4 linked regions of the Saccharomyces cerevisiae S288C genome follow. Each later gene encodes a partner of the first gene's protein in a complex. Each region holds a gene or a part of one and is shown in the gene's direction. Other genes may lie near its edges. The genes, in order: MRPL9, MRPL32, MRP35 and MRPL33.

The links.
Region 2: MRPL9 (region 1) and MRPL32 share a complex: the UniProt entries of both Saccharomyces cerevisiae proteins name them as parts of the mitochondrial large ribosomal subunit.
Region 3: MRPL9 (region 1) and MRP35 share a complex: the UniProt entries of both Saccharomyces cerevisiae proteins name them as parts of the mitochondrial large ribosomal subunit.
Region 4: MRPL9 (region 1) and MRPL33 share a complex: the UniProt entries of both Saccharomyces cerevisiae proteins name them as parts of the mitochondrial large ribosomal subunit.

The regions. Positions count from the first base shown.
Region 1 is NC_001139.9:935,573-938,673, reverse strand, and holds MRPL9 (mitochondrial 54S ribosomal protein uL3m MRPL9), read left to right. Parts: upstream 1-1,790; coding exon 1,791-2,600; downstream 2,601-3,101. Other genes in the region: TOS2 (Tos2p), read left to right, coding at 1-1,550; exportin CRM1, read right to left, coding at 2,879-3,101. UniProt on the Saccharomyces cerevisiae protein: Component of the mitochondrial ribosome (mitoribosome), a dedicated translation machinery responsible for the synthesis of mitochondrial genome-encoded proteins, including at least some of the essential transmembrane subunits of the mitochondrial respiratory chain.
Region 2 is NC_001135.5:116,921-119,691, forward strand, and holds MRPL32 (mitochondrial 54S ribosomal protein bL32m MRPL32), read left to right. Parts: upstream 1-1,699; coding exon 1,700-2,251; downstream 2,252-2,771. Other genes in the region: septin CDC10, read right to left, coding at 460-1,428; YCP4 (flavodoxin-like fold family protein), read right to left, coding at 2,655-2,771. UniProt on the Saccharomyces cerevisiae protein: Component of the mitochondrial ribosome (mitoribosome), a dedicated translation machinery responsible for the synthesis of mitochondrial genome-encoded proteins, including at least some of the essential transmembrane subunits of the mitochondrial respiratory chain.
Region 3 is NC_001146.8:397,468-400,042, reverse strand, and holds MRP35 (mitochondrial 54S ribosomal protein bL35m MRP35), read left to right. Parts: upstream 1-1,672; coding exon 1,673-2,020; downstream 2,021-2,575. Other genes in the region: protein channel TOM70, read left to right, coding at 1-1,359; NMA111 (Nma111p), read right to left, coding at 2,365-2,575. UniProt on the Saccharomyces cerevisiae protein: Component of the mitochondrial ribosome (mitoribosome), a dedicated translation machinery responsible for the synthesis of mitochondrial genome-encoded proteins, including at least some of the essential transmembrane subunits of the mitochondrial respiratory chain.
Region 4 is NC_001145.3:840,260-842,734, forward strand, and holds MRPL33 (mitochondrial 54S ribosomal protein uL30m MRPL33), read left to right. Parts: upstream 1-1,682; coding exon 1,683-1,943; downstream 1,944-2,475. Other genes in the region: NGL2 (RNA exonuclease), read right to left, coding at 1-1,432; DSS1 (exoribonuclease II), read right to left, coding at 2,177-2,475. UniProt on the Saccharomyces cerevisiae protein: Component of the mitochondrial ribosome (mitoribosome), a dedicated translation machinery responsible for the synthesis of mitochondrial genome-encoded proteins, including at least some of the essential transmembrane subunits of the mitochondrial respiratory chain.

The DNA.
Region 1 (3,101 bases):
TTATTTATGGTGGTTATGACGATTTTTTGCAACCGTCAATCGAAAACTCACAATCTTTCAAAGATTATGTGAGGCGTATCAATGAGCATGCACCCTCCGCTTATAATATTGCTTCACTGGCTTCGCAGAATAACAGCAAGTTATCGGTCCCCTCCAAGCACATTGACCTTTCGAATAAGATTTCTTTCGAATCGTTAGAGAATTCTGAGCTGATTGTTTCACCACAACACTCAAATACTGGGCAAGACTGTGATCAAAGATGTGATAGTACGTCAAATCCTGATGTAAATGAAAAGTCCAGCCATAACAACGATAATCGACTTAAATCGAATTATACGAGTCGTAGCGGGCTCGAGCCTCAGTGTTCGAGAGAGGAGGAAGAAAATATTGACAGAATAAGAAGCATTTATAACATTTATTTTGAGAAAAGTAATAGCACGATACGATCCTCTGTAACTTCTTCGATACGGCGTGACTCTAAATTAAACATCGCTACAAGAAAAAGTGTAAATATGAGCTCTCAAGACAATCCAAATGATACTACATTAATTGAACAGAGTCACTTCGGAAGTACAACTGTCCAAGAAATTGATTCCAGTTCCAGCGCCAATGAGGAATATGAAGATGCAACTGATTATCTGCAAGTGCCGGCACCACAAGAGAATAAAAACATTGCATCGTCAGTATATTCAGAAGTAGCAACCAGAGAAAAAGTGATTCCCGAATCGTCTCTATCTCTTACATTCCCACCACCGAATGGTCTTTCAACGAGAATTACCTCATCAATATATTCTGACACGGTCGCTAAGGACCATATTCACTCTGCAAAGGCTCCCGTACGGGCCCTTTCGGAGGGTTCGGGTCAGTCAAATCTTACTTCTGCTCAGCAATATTCTACATATTTTATAGATCACTGCAACCAGAGCAATGATGACAATTACTACTATAATTATCCCCTCCCGTTAGAACATCCTCAAAATTATGAGAACATCGGAGATTTGCCCACGCCTACCCAATTCATTTATTCCACCTCTTCGCATTCCTTGACGTCATTCAAAGGAAGGCCTAAACCTCCAAAAACACTAAAACATGTACCTACAGCTAGGCTTAATGGGACAGCGTTGAATCCAATGGATCATCCTGAAATGTTTTACAGTTCGCCTACGAAAATACCGTCAACATCTTTGACAAAGCAATTTTGTACGCCCCTTCCATATCAGCTTAGACAAAGTGTTGTTATGACCAACCCATCAGAACTTTCTATGAAACCTCGCTATAAGCCTGCAGGATCTTTAAGAAATTTAATAAAGGCCCAATATCTCCCTGGTAACTCATCCACTACAACATCATCTTCTTTATCACAACCGCCGTCAACGTTGTCAAATGCAATAAATTTCCGTGTTAGTGGGTTATTGGATGACACTGACATCTTGCAGCCTCCTAGTGTGGGGGAAATCTTACCTTTTAAAGCTTCTACGGAAGACTTAAGGAAGCAACTGGGCACATCCCATAATTACGAAATAACACCGTACGAGAATGTACATGTATAAATAAAATTCAAAATCATGAAATGTTGTAACAGTAAATAAGCACCATAAATTCGTTTCTCGATGATCCTCTTCTTTCCTTAATTGAAATGCTAATGCCATTTCTCCTATTACAGTCGCGAGATATTTGTTTTCGGGTAATCCCTTGTCAAACGAACTTTATTGAAAAATATATGGACGATAAATTGACAACTGGGACGAGAAAGGGCAACTCTTTGAAAGCAAGAGAGAACAAATATAGCCATGTCGAAGTTCCTACAGGGATCAATATTTAGCATATCAAAACTTCATGTTAGATATTCTTCTACTCGGCCTTTTCTAGTGGCTCCTAGTATTGCTAACAGTATAACAACCGAGGCTCCAGCGATTAATCACTCACCTGAACTGGCAAATGCGAGAAAATGGCTACCAAAAAGATGCGGTTTAATTACTCGTAAGAAGGGAATGATGCCTTATTTTGATAAATCTACTGGTGAAAGAAGCGCCGCTACTATATTAGAAGTTAATAATGTTGAAGTAATAATGCATAGAACTTCGGAGGTCAATGGGTACTTCGCGTGTCAAGTAGGGTACGGATCAAGGCATTTGTCTAAAGTTAGCAGACAAATGCTTGGTCATTTCGCTTCTAAAGTTGTTAACCCAAAAGAGCATGTGGCCGAATTCCGAGTTAAAGATGAAAAGGGATTAATACCACCTGGCACATTATTGAAACCCTCTTTTTTCAAAGAAGGCCAATATGTTGACGTCAGATCAGTCAGCAAAGGCAAAGGTTTTACTGGTGTGATGAAAAGGTATGGATTCAAGGGTTTGAGAGCATCTCATGGTACATCTATTATGCATAGACACGGTGGTTCTTATGGTCAAAACCAAGACCCAGGTAGGGTACTGCCAGGAAGAAAGATGCCTGGTCATATGGGAAACGAGCATGTTACTATCCAAAATGTTAAAGTTTTGAAAGTCGACGATGAAAATAATGTTATTTGGGTTAAAGGCTCTGTGGCTGGGCCCAAAAACAGTTTCGTTAAAATTCAAGATGCAATCAAAAAAACTTGAGCATAAGGCGTATAAGTATTTTACTACAATCATGTACATACATCAATAATAACAATAAAATGGGTAATCACTTAAGAATCTTCAAATAATATTCTTTACTTTTCCATGAAGTTGGCTAAATAGTATTTAGTACTATATTAGAGTATTGGAACTTTGAAGAACCAATTTACATACAATATGAAGTGAAAAAGAAATGAAAACCCCGTGGTTATAAATTAGAGACTAGTTAATAAAAGGGAAAAAATATTGGAAATTTAAAGAATGATACGCCACCGCCTCTAATCATCAAGTTCGGAAGGTTTTAATAACCCACCAATCTTGGCAGCTTTTTCCCTCTCTAGTCTATTCTGTTCCATTAATGCATTCTCTTTATCTTCAGCAAACAAATAATCTGTTGGATCACCTCCGACTTCTTTGATTTGCACCAAAAAGTCCCTCAAAGTGCCTTTGAAGACCACTAAGTCTTTGTATTGTTTAGTTAATGCAGAGAGAAAACTTGCG
Region 2 (2,771 bases), on another chromosome or scaffold:
TTAAAAGAAGAGGTATATCCGGATTACATTTATTTTTGGCGTATTTTAATAATTTACTAAAAGCGCGAATAGCTTCCCATTAGCAACGCTCAGGGACTCTTTCTAATGTTTATAGTAATACTTTAATAAGATGAGTACCAATTGCTTCTCTATGAGGCACAATCCCTAACCAAACTTTTATTTAGAATTACCGGTAAACTCCGTTTTCTTCATAGATTAAATATTTGGCTAAGACAACAAAATGTTCTTTCATTTTACCAAACGAGAAGGTGATAGCTGTACGCCAGAAAAGAAGGTAAAAACTCTCGCCAATCCAGCAATACCTGTACCTCTAGTTTTCGATCGCATTATGTCATTATGTAAAACCAAGGAGAGAAGCAAGTTACGGTGTTTTCATATAGAATAATTTGAGAATTCTTAATAACATAAGATATATAATCACCACCATTCTTATGAGATTCAACGTTGAATGGCGTTGCTAGACATATGAGCTGAGGAACGACTATTCGCATTTTCTTTCAAGGCAATTAATTGTCTTGCTCTGAACCCTTCATAATGAATGTAGGAAGTTGTTTCGATTAAGTCTTGGAGATGAGTTCGAATCAAAAATTCCCTTAAATATACAAAATCACACTGGTTGATATCCTCAACATTAATAGCGCTCCAACGAGTTTTTCTTCCCCTGAAGGTTTCACCGTTTATTTCAATCTCATTCTCAGAACCAACCACTGCAAACGGAATGATAGATCTAACACTTCTGTTTAGTTCTAATTCCTCGTCAGTTAGTTCTTCCGAATCATAAGGATAAATCTTGAAATTGTATTTTTCGAATTCATTTTGAATAAGCTCCCTAAACTCCGTTCTTTCATCTAAAGTCAATGTATCCGACTTGCCAATAACTGGTATAACATTTGCTATTTCTGTCAATCTTTTCAAGGCTTCAACGTCAAGGCGGCTCAACTCCTTTCCATTTGGTTGCAGGAAATAAAGAATTGCATGAACTCTTGTATCAGTAATAAACCTTTCACGTTGGGCTGTCAATTCTTTACGTAAGTATTGAGAATGTTGTTCCTTAATGTACTTCACAATAGGCTCCCAAGCTTTAGAATTGTCAATAAAGTCACCAAATCCAGGTGTATCTATAACATTAATATTCAAGCGAACGCGGTCCTCCACAAGAGTATGAGTAGAAATTTTCATTTCAGTTGTTTTTGTAACAGGCAGGGCAGAAATATCATCACCAGTAGCAGAATCAATCAAATGTGAGGCAAATAACGTATTTATTAGAGTACTTTTACCCAATCCGGATTGGCCAACAACCATTATATTAAATTGAAAACCTTTCTTCAACAGACGATGTTCGATCTGATTCGTGATGGTATCAAAACCAACATAAGAAGCAGGCTGTACTGAGCTGAGAGGATCCATTAATATATTTATAGAGTGCTTGTAGTAACCGTGGGGCTTGGCCTTGTATTTTCTTGTCTTTGCCTGAAAAAAGTTAAGTATTACTGATACATGTTTACATATATTCTATTCAGCGATTCTGATCTATTTGTGGTCTCTCGAGGAAATCTCATCGTATCATACGATTATTTCCGCAAGCATTCAGAAAGCAAATCTTAATATAAGGCACAATGTTCCCAAATAATACCTTAACTTGGAGACAAAAACACCAGGGAATATCAGCAAACAAACTATGAATTCTTTGATTTTTGGTAAACAATTAGCATTTCACAAAATTGTGCCTACCACTGCAATTGGGTGGTTGGTACCGCTAGGAAATCCTTCACTGCAGATTCCAGGCCAAAAACAACTGGGATCTATCCACCGTTGGTTGAGAGAAAAGCTACAACAAGATCATAAGGACACTGAAGATAAAGATTTTTTCTCTAATAATGGTATTCTACTAGCAGTTCCTAAAAAAAAAGTATCACACCAAAAAAAAAGGCAAAAACTTTACGGTCCAGGTAAGAAGCAATTGAAGATGATTCACCATTTGAATAAGTGCCCATCATGCGGCCATTATAAGAGAGCCAATACACTGTGTATGTATTGTGTTGGACAAATAAGTCATATATGGAAAACGCATACCGCTAAAGAAGAAATTAAGCCGAGACAAGAGGAGGAACTTTCCGAACTAGACCAAAGAGTCCTATATCCTGGTAGAAGAGATACCAAATATACCAAGGATTTGAAAGATAAAGATAACTATTTGGAACGTCGCGTTCGGACTTTAAAAAAGGACTAGGCTCATCTTTCATCTAGTGGTTTCCTTTTTAAATAAACTTAAGCCTGTATATAGAAACTTAATTTCAAACTGTATATTTATTGTTTAAGACAGCATCAATGGTAGAATACAAGGAGCGGAAACAGAAAGAAAAGTCGAAATAGAATTTTTCGCTTTTGGCTTAACAAAATGAGGTCTTTGAAATCAAGAGTTTTGCTTGACAAAAAACAACTATATTTCAAAATATTAGGAAATGATATTATTAGTACAAGGACTTACAGAAATATACTTTTAATATAAAAAGGAAAAAATAAAATAAAAAGAGTTAATTCTTTATTAATTTTCCAACGTCCTACATTGATATATCTGCTGAGATAGAATTAATGTTAGTAAGAACTAAATATTAGACGCGAACTGTTGTTTCTTACATGACAGTACAGCAGGATAATAATCCTTTGTCCTCCTTCTTTTCTGCAGTTGTAGCTGCTGCAGGTTTAGTTTGTCTCTTAGCCGCATCAGAAGTAGTGGTCTTCTTTTCAGT
Region 3 (2,575 bases), on another chromosome or scaffold:
TCAAAAGTTTTACTGAGAAGAGCTTCTGCTAACGAAGGGCTAGGAAAATTTGCGGATGCGATGTTCGATTTGTCTGTATTGTCTCTAAATGGTGACTTCAATGACGCCTCTATTGAACCAATGTTGGAGAGGAACTTGAATAAGCAAGCTATGTCTAAATTGAAAGAAAAGTTTGGCGATATTGACACCGCTACTGCTACTCCAACTGAATTATCCACCCAACCAGCTAAAGAACGCAAAGACAAGCAGGAAAACTTGCCTTCAGTTACATCCATGGCCTCTTTCTTTGGTATTTTCAAACCCGAGTTGACTTTTGCCAATTATGATGAATCCAATGAAGCTGATAAAGAGTTAATGAACGGTTTAAGTAATTTGTACAAAAGATCTCCCGAAAGTTACGACAAGGCTGATGAGTCTTTCACGAAAGCTGCAAGGTTATTTGAAGAACAATTGGACAAGAACAATGAGGATGAAAAGTTAAAGGAAAAATTGGCCATCTCATTAGAACACACAGGTATTTTCAAGTTCTTGAAAAACGATCCATTGGGAGCTCACGAAGACATCAAGAAAGCTATTGAATTGTTCCCAAGAGTCAATTCATATATCTACATGGCATTAATCATGGCTGATAGAAATGACTCGACTGAATATTATAACTACTTCGATAAAGCGCTGAAACTGGACTCAAACAATTCTTCTGTTTACTATCACCGCGGCCAAATGAATTTCATTTTACAAAACTATGATCAAGCAGGAAAAGATTTTGATAAAGCTAAGGAATTAGACCCAGAGAATATCTTCCCTTATATTCAATTAGCATGTCTAGCGTACCGTGAAAACAAGTTTGATGACTGTGAAACTTTGTTTAGTGAAGCTAAGAGAAAATTTCCAGAGGCACCAGAAGTTCCAAATTTCTTTGCTGAAATTTTAACAGACAAGAACGATTTTGACAAGGCTTTGAAGCAGTACGATTTGGCTATTGAATTAGAAAACAAGTTGGATGGTATTTATGTTGGAATTGCGCCTTTGGTCGGTAAAGCCACTTTGTTGACAAGAAATCCAACAGTAGAAAATTTTATTGAAGCCACGAATTTATTAGAAAAAGCGTCCAAACTAGACCCAAGAAGTGAGCAAGCTAAAATCGGTTTAGCTCAAATGAAATTGCAGCAGGAAGATATCGATGAAGCTATTACATTATTCGAAGAATCCGCTGATTTGGCTAGAACTATGGAAGAGAAATTACAAGCCATTACTTTTGCTGAAGCCGCTAAAGTTCAACAAAGAATTAGGTCTGATCCAGTATTGGCTAAAAAGATTCAAGAAACTTTAGCTAAATTACGCGAACAGGGTTTAATGTAAACAGTAAACATAAACTTAAAAACTTTTAGGAGAAGACAAAAACTAAGTAACAAAGTAGACTAAATGACAAAGGAAGAGCAGCAATGACATTGACATCTCACTTTGAAAATTTTTGTTTTCATTTTTGTTTCAATATACACGTATGCATGTTCTAATATATATATATATATCTTTTTCTTTTTCTCTTTCATTCTGTAAATAATTAGCAGTGCGTATAAACCACAACCAATTTTTTCAACCTTGAAGCCCTCGCCAATTTGCGGAGCCTAAAAAAATCTGGTCAAATACAAAAAAGATAGTATATATATCTATCATGAAAATTAGCTTGCATAACAAACGGCAACGAGGAGACCAAAACCAAAACATGTCTGTTTTCAATGTACTCAAACCACTACTTAAAGGTTCAAATAGTTTCAAAGTGAAGCTCAACGGCTTTCTATTCAATAACGTTTCTACAATAACAATAAGAACTTTAATGAAAACTCATAAAGGTACAGCAAAGAGGTGGAGGCGTACCGGTAATACTTTTAAAAGAGGCATAGCTGGAAGAAAACATGGCAATATAGGCTGGTCCCATAGATCATTAAAAGCCTTAACCGGAAGGAAAATTGCCCATCCAGCTTATTCAAAGCATCTAAAGCGGTTATTACCCTATCATTGAAGGTGGAATAATTATGTTCTCCTCTAAACCAAACGCACCGTTAACCCCAAATCAATTGTTTGAGTATTTGCTTTCGGTCTTCATGTATATAAATAAGTATGAAACAATAACCATAAATTTATACAATCGATAATACCTTAGAGAATTCAAGCGTTGAAGTAATTAAATACTATTTCGTCAGGCGCTTGCAACCATCTCGACATCATAATCCTAACCCCTCAAAATGATTGAAAAACTTGTAAATCTTAACGCTCCTGTGATAGTCTATAAAAAAACTGTTCTTTATGGAAGACTTTGATGTATACATACATACATACATATATAAATGTTTTATCAAATCTGGCCTATTTTTCACTTTGGCTGTTGCCGGTAAATTCCTTTTCAATCCATTTGTGCGTGATGTTGTCCCTCTTCAATTCTGCAGTAGGGAAGTAATGATAATTCGTTTTCAGTGAAATAGCGAAGGGCACATTGTCGAAAGTCATTAACCTCATTTTACAATAACTATTATCAGGGATTGTTTTGACAACTTTCAAAAATGTATCTAGATCAGGT
Region 4 (2,475 bases), on another chromosome or scaffold:
TGCATTTAACTTTATTTTCTTTTTCAAAATCGCCAAGGGTTTCCACTTCCTGACAATTACTTTGTGGGTCCCATTTCTTTACATAAAATAGATAGTCTAATAAACCACGCCAAGTGTTTGCCCAATTTGAAATTTCAGGCTCACCTCTATCATTATCAAGACCTGCATTTTCTGGATGAACATTCTTATACCCAACAGAGTATAGTGAAATAGCCCTCATATCCAATGAGTTATGGAGTTGTGCCATTTTATCTACGAGTTCAGACTGTTCTTCATTAGCATGAAATTTTTCAGGAACGGGGCTCTCAGGTTGATCTTTACCATATTTTTCAATATTCCCGCCTTCTTCGTCATCTGCACCTTCTTCGCCATCACGGACCTTGGAAAACTTATATGAAGTGCTGCACCCAATGACGGTCTTTGCCCTGTTTCTATAGTGCACTGGTTTGGATGTCATAGATAAATATGGTGTGTCGAACGGCTGGGAATTAAAATCACCACAGAAAAAAGGAAACCAATGAGATAAATCCCCATCATTTTCGTTCTGTAAAACATTCACACGATGCATGAATTCCTTCATCTTTTTTAAAACAATATAGCATTGTCTTGTTCGTTCATAAGTACCAAATGGATGCCAAAATAGATGCGTAGTGCCGATCAAGATACCGCATTTTTTAGACGATTTTTTACCCAAATTCGACAGTACTTTCTCAGAAAACTTCAAGGCTAAGACTAATCCCACGTTGTTTGTCGTTGTTCTAGTGGAAATGCTTTCTGAACTTTCTTTATCATAGTCGATTAGCATTTTGTCAACCTGGTGAAATAATTCTCTCCTCCACATTATCGCGACACCATGGTTTTTTGTAGCATTTCTATAATATTGTCCATCGTATCCCAATTTACTGAATTCATCTTTCCAAAAGCTTTGAAACTGAATATGATCAATCTCTTGCAAACAAATGACATCGGAATTATAATATTTAAACTCGTTTAAGAGAACTTTAGAACGCCTGTACCATTTTAAAGCGTCACCACTATCCGGGAACAGCTTTCTGCGGATTAGAGCTTGCGCCAAGCAATTATAAGTCATTAGCTTGAATCTAAATCCAGTTACTGGCTCTGCCTCATGTAGAGATAGGAAAGGTCTTCTGATAAAATGCAGCTCTGGCGGGCAGTCCGGATCAACACCTTGAGCCAACATTGCATCTCTTTTAGCCTTTCTCATAACTTCCCTTTCGGCACGAACCTTAGCGATATGTTCTGGGGTCACTATGGGCTTCGATTTTTTACCTTTCTTGCCCTTCTTTTTATGTTGAAGTAACGAATCATCATTGGTTTGATGTTTTGCATCTTTTACAGATTTATTAATTTCTACTTCTTGGTCGGGCGCAACATCTGGGGCAACCACTTTGACTTCTTTGTCTTGTGTCATATTTACTTAATACTCTTAACTACAATTAAGAAGCTATAAGGAGACTACAATCTCATCTTCTTGCAACACTACTTTTCCTTTCCTCTTGCTTTAGTGCAACCATTTTTTGAAAAATGAATGGTCTTTCTGCACGAAATATCTCTCGAAGAGCTTTTCTAGATATTAAGGATAAAGTATATCATCCCAAAAGTTAGGTGATGGAATCAATATTGATGGACCAGCTAAAACACGTTGAAAGCAGATATCAGGAATGGTGTTTTACAAAGTCACGTTGAGTAGGTCGCTTATCGGTGTGCCACACACAACGAAGAGCATTGTCAAAAGTTTGGGTTTAGGTAAAAGAGGGTCCATAGTCTACAAAAAAGTAAACCCGGCCATAGCTGGCTCCCTAGCTAAAGTAAAAGAGTTAGTCAAAGTAGAAGTAACAGAACATGAATTAACACCATCGCAGCAACGAGAGTTGAGAAAGTCAAACCCTGGGTTTATAGTGGAGAAGAGAACCATCGACTGAAACAGCGAAAATAAGGCAACTGGATTTCCTTTCTTCTTGATATTCCTGACTTATATATGTATATAGTATTATTTTTTCCTGCATAGGCACATATGTTAATAGTAATTTATGCAATTTTTGATACAAAGAAATCAATACACTATCTCGATTTCATATTTTATGTATGTATATATTTACAAGAAGAAAATTATGCATGGTCTATTGAATTTTATATTTGGAAAAAGAGTCCCTTTTTATAGCTTTTCCAACTCTAACATTCCTTCTAAACAGTCAATTTTTGAAATTTTACAATTCTTCACGATATCTCCAATCATCGGATAATGCATAGAACTTGGATGCAATTTTAATGTTCCTCTAGCGAACGATAAGTCTGGAAAAACACATCCAGTAAATCCGTTCTGCGGTACTGATGTTACCATTACATCGAAAGTCCTTTCTGGCTCTAGTTTGGTTAGCTTTTTTAAATAATTCAGTGTCCAGTACGTCGACGAATTACGGCTAGCCCTTTTTAAAATATCCGCTCGAGATTGAA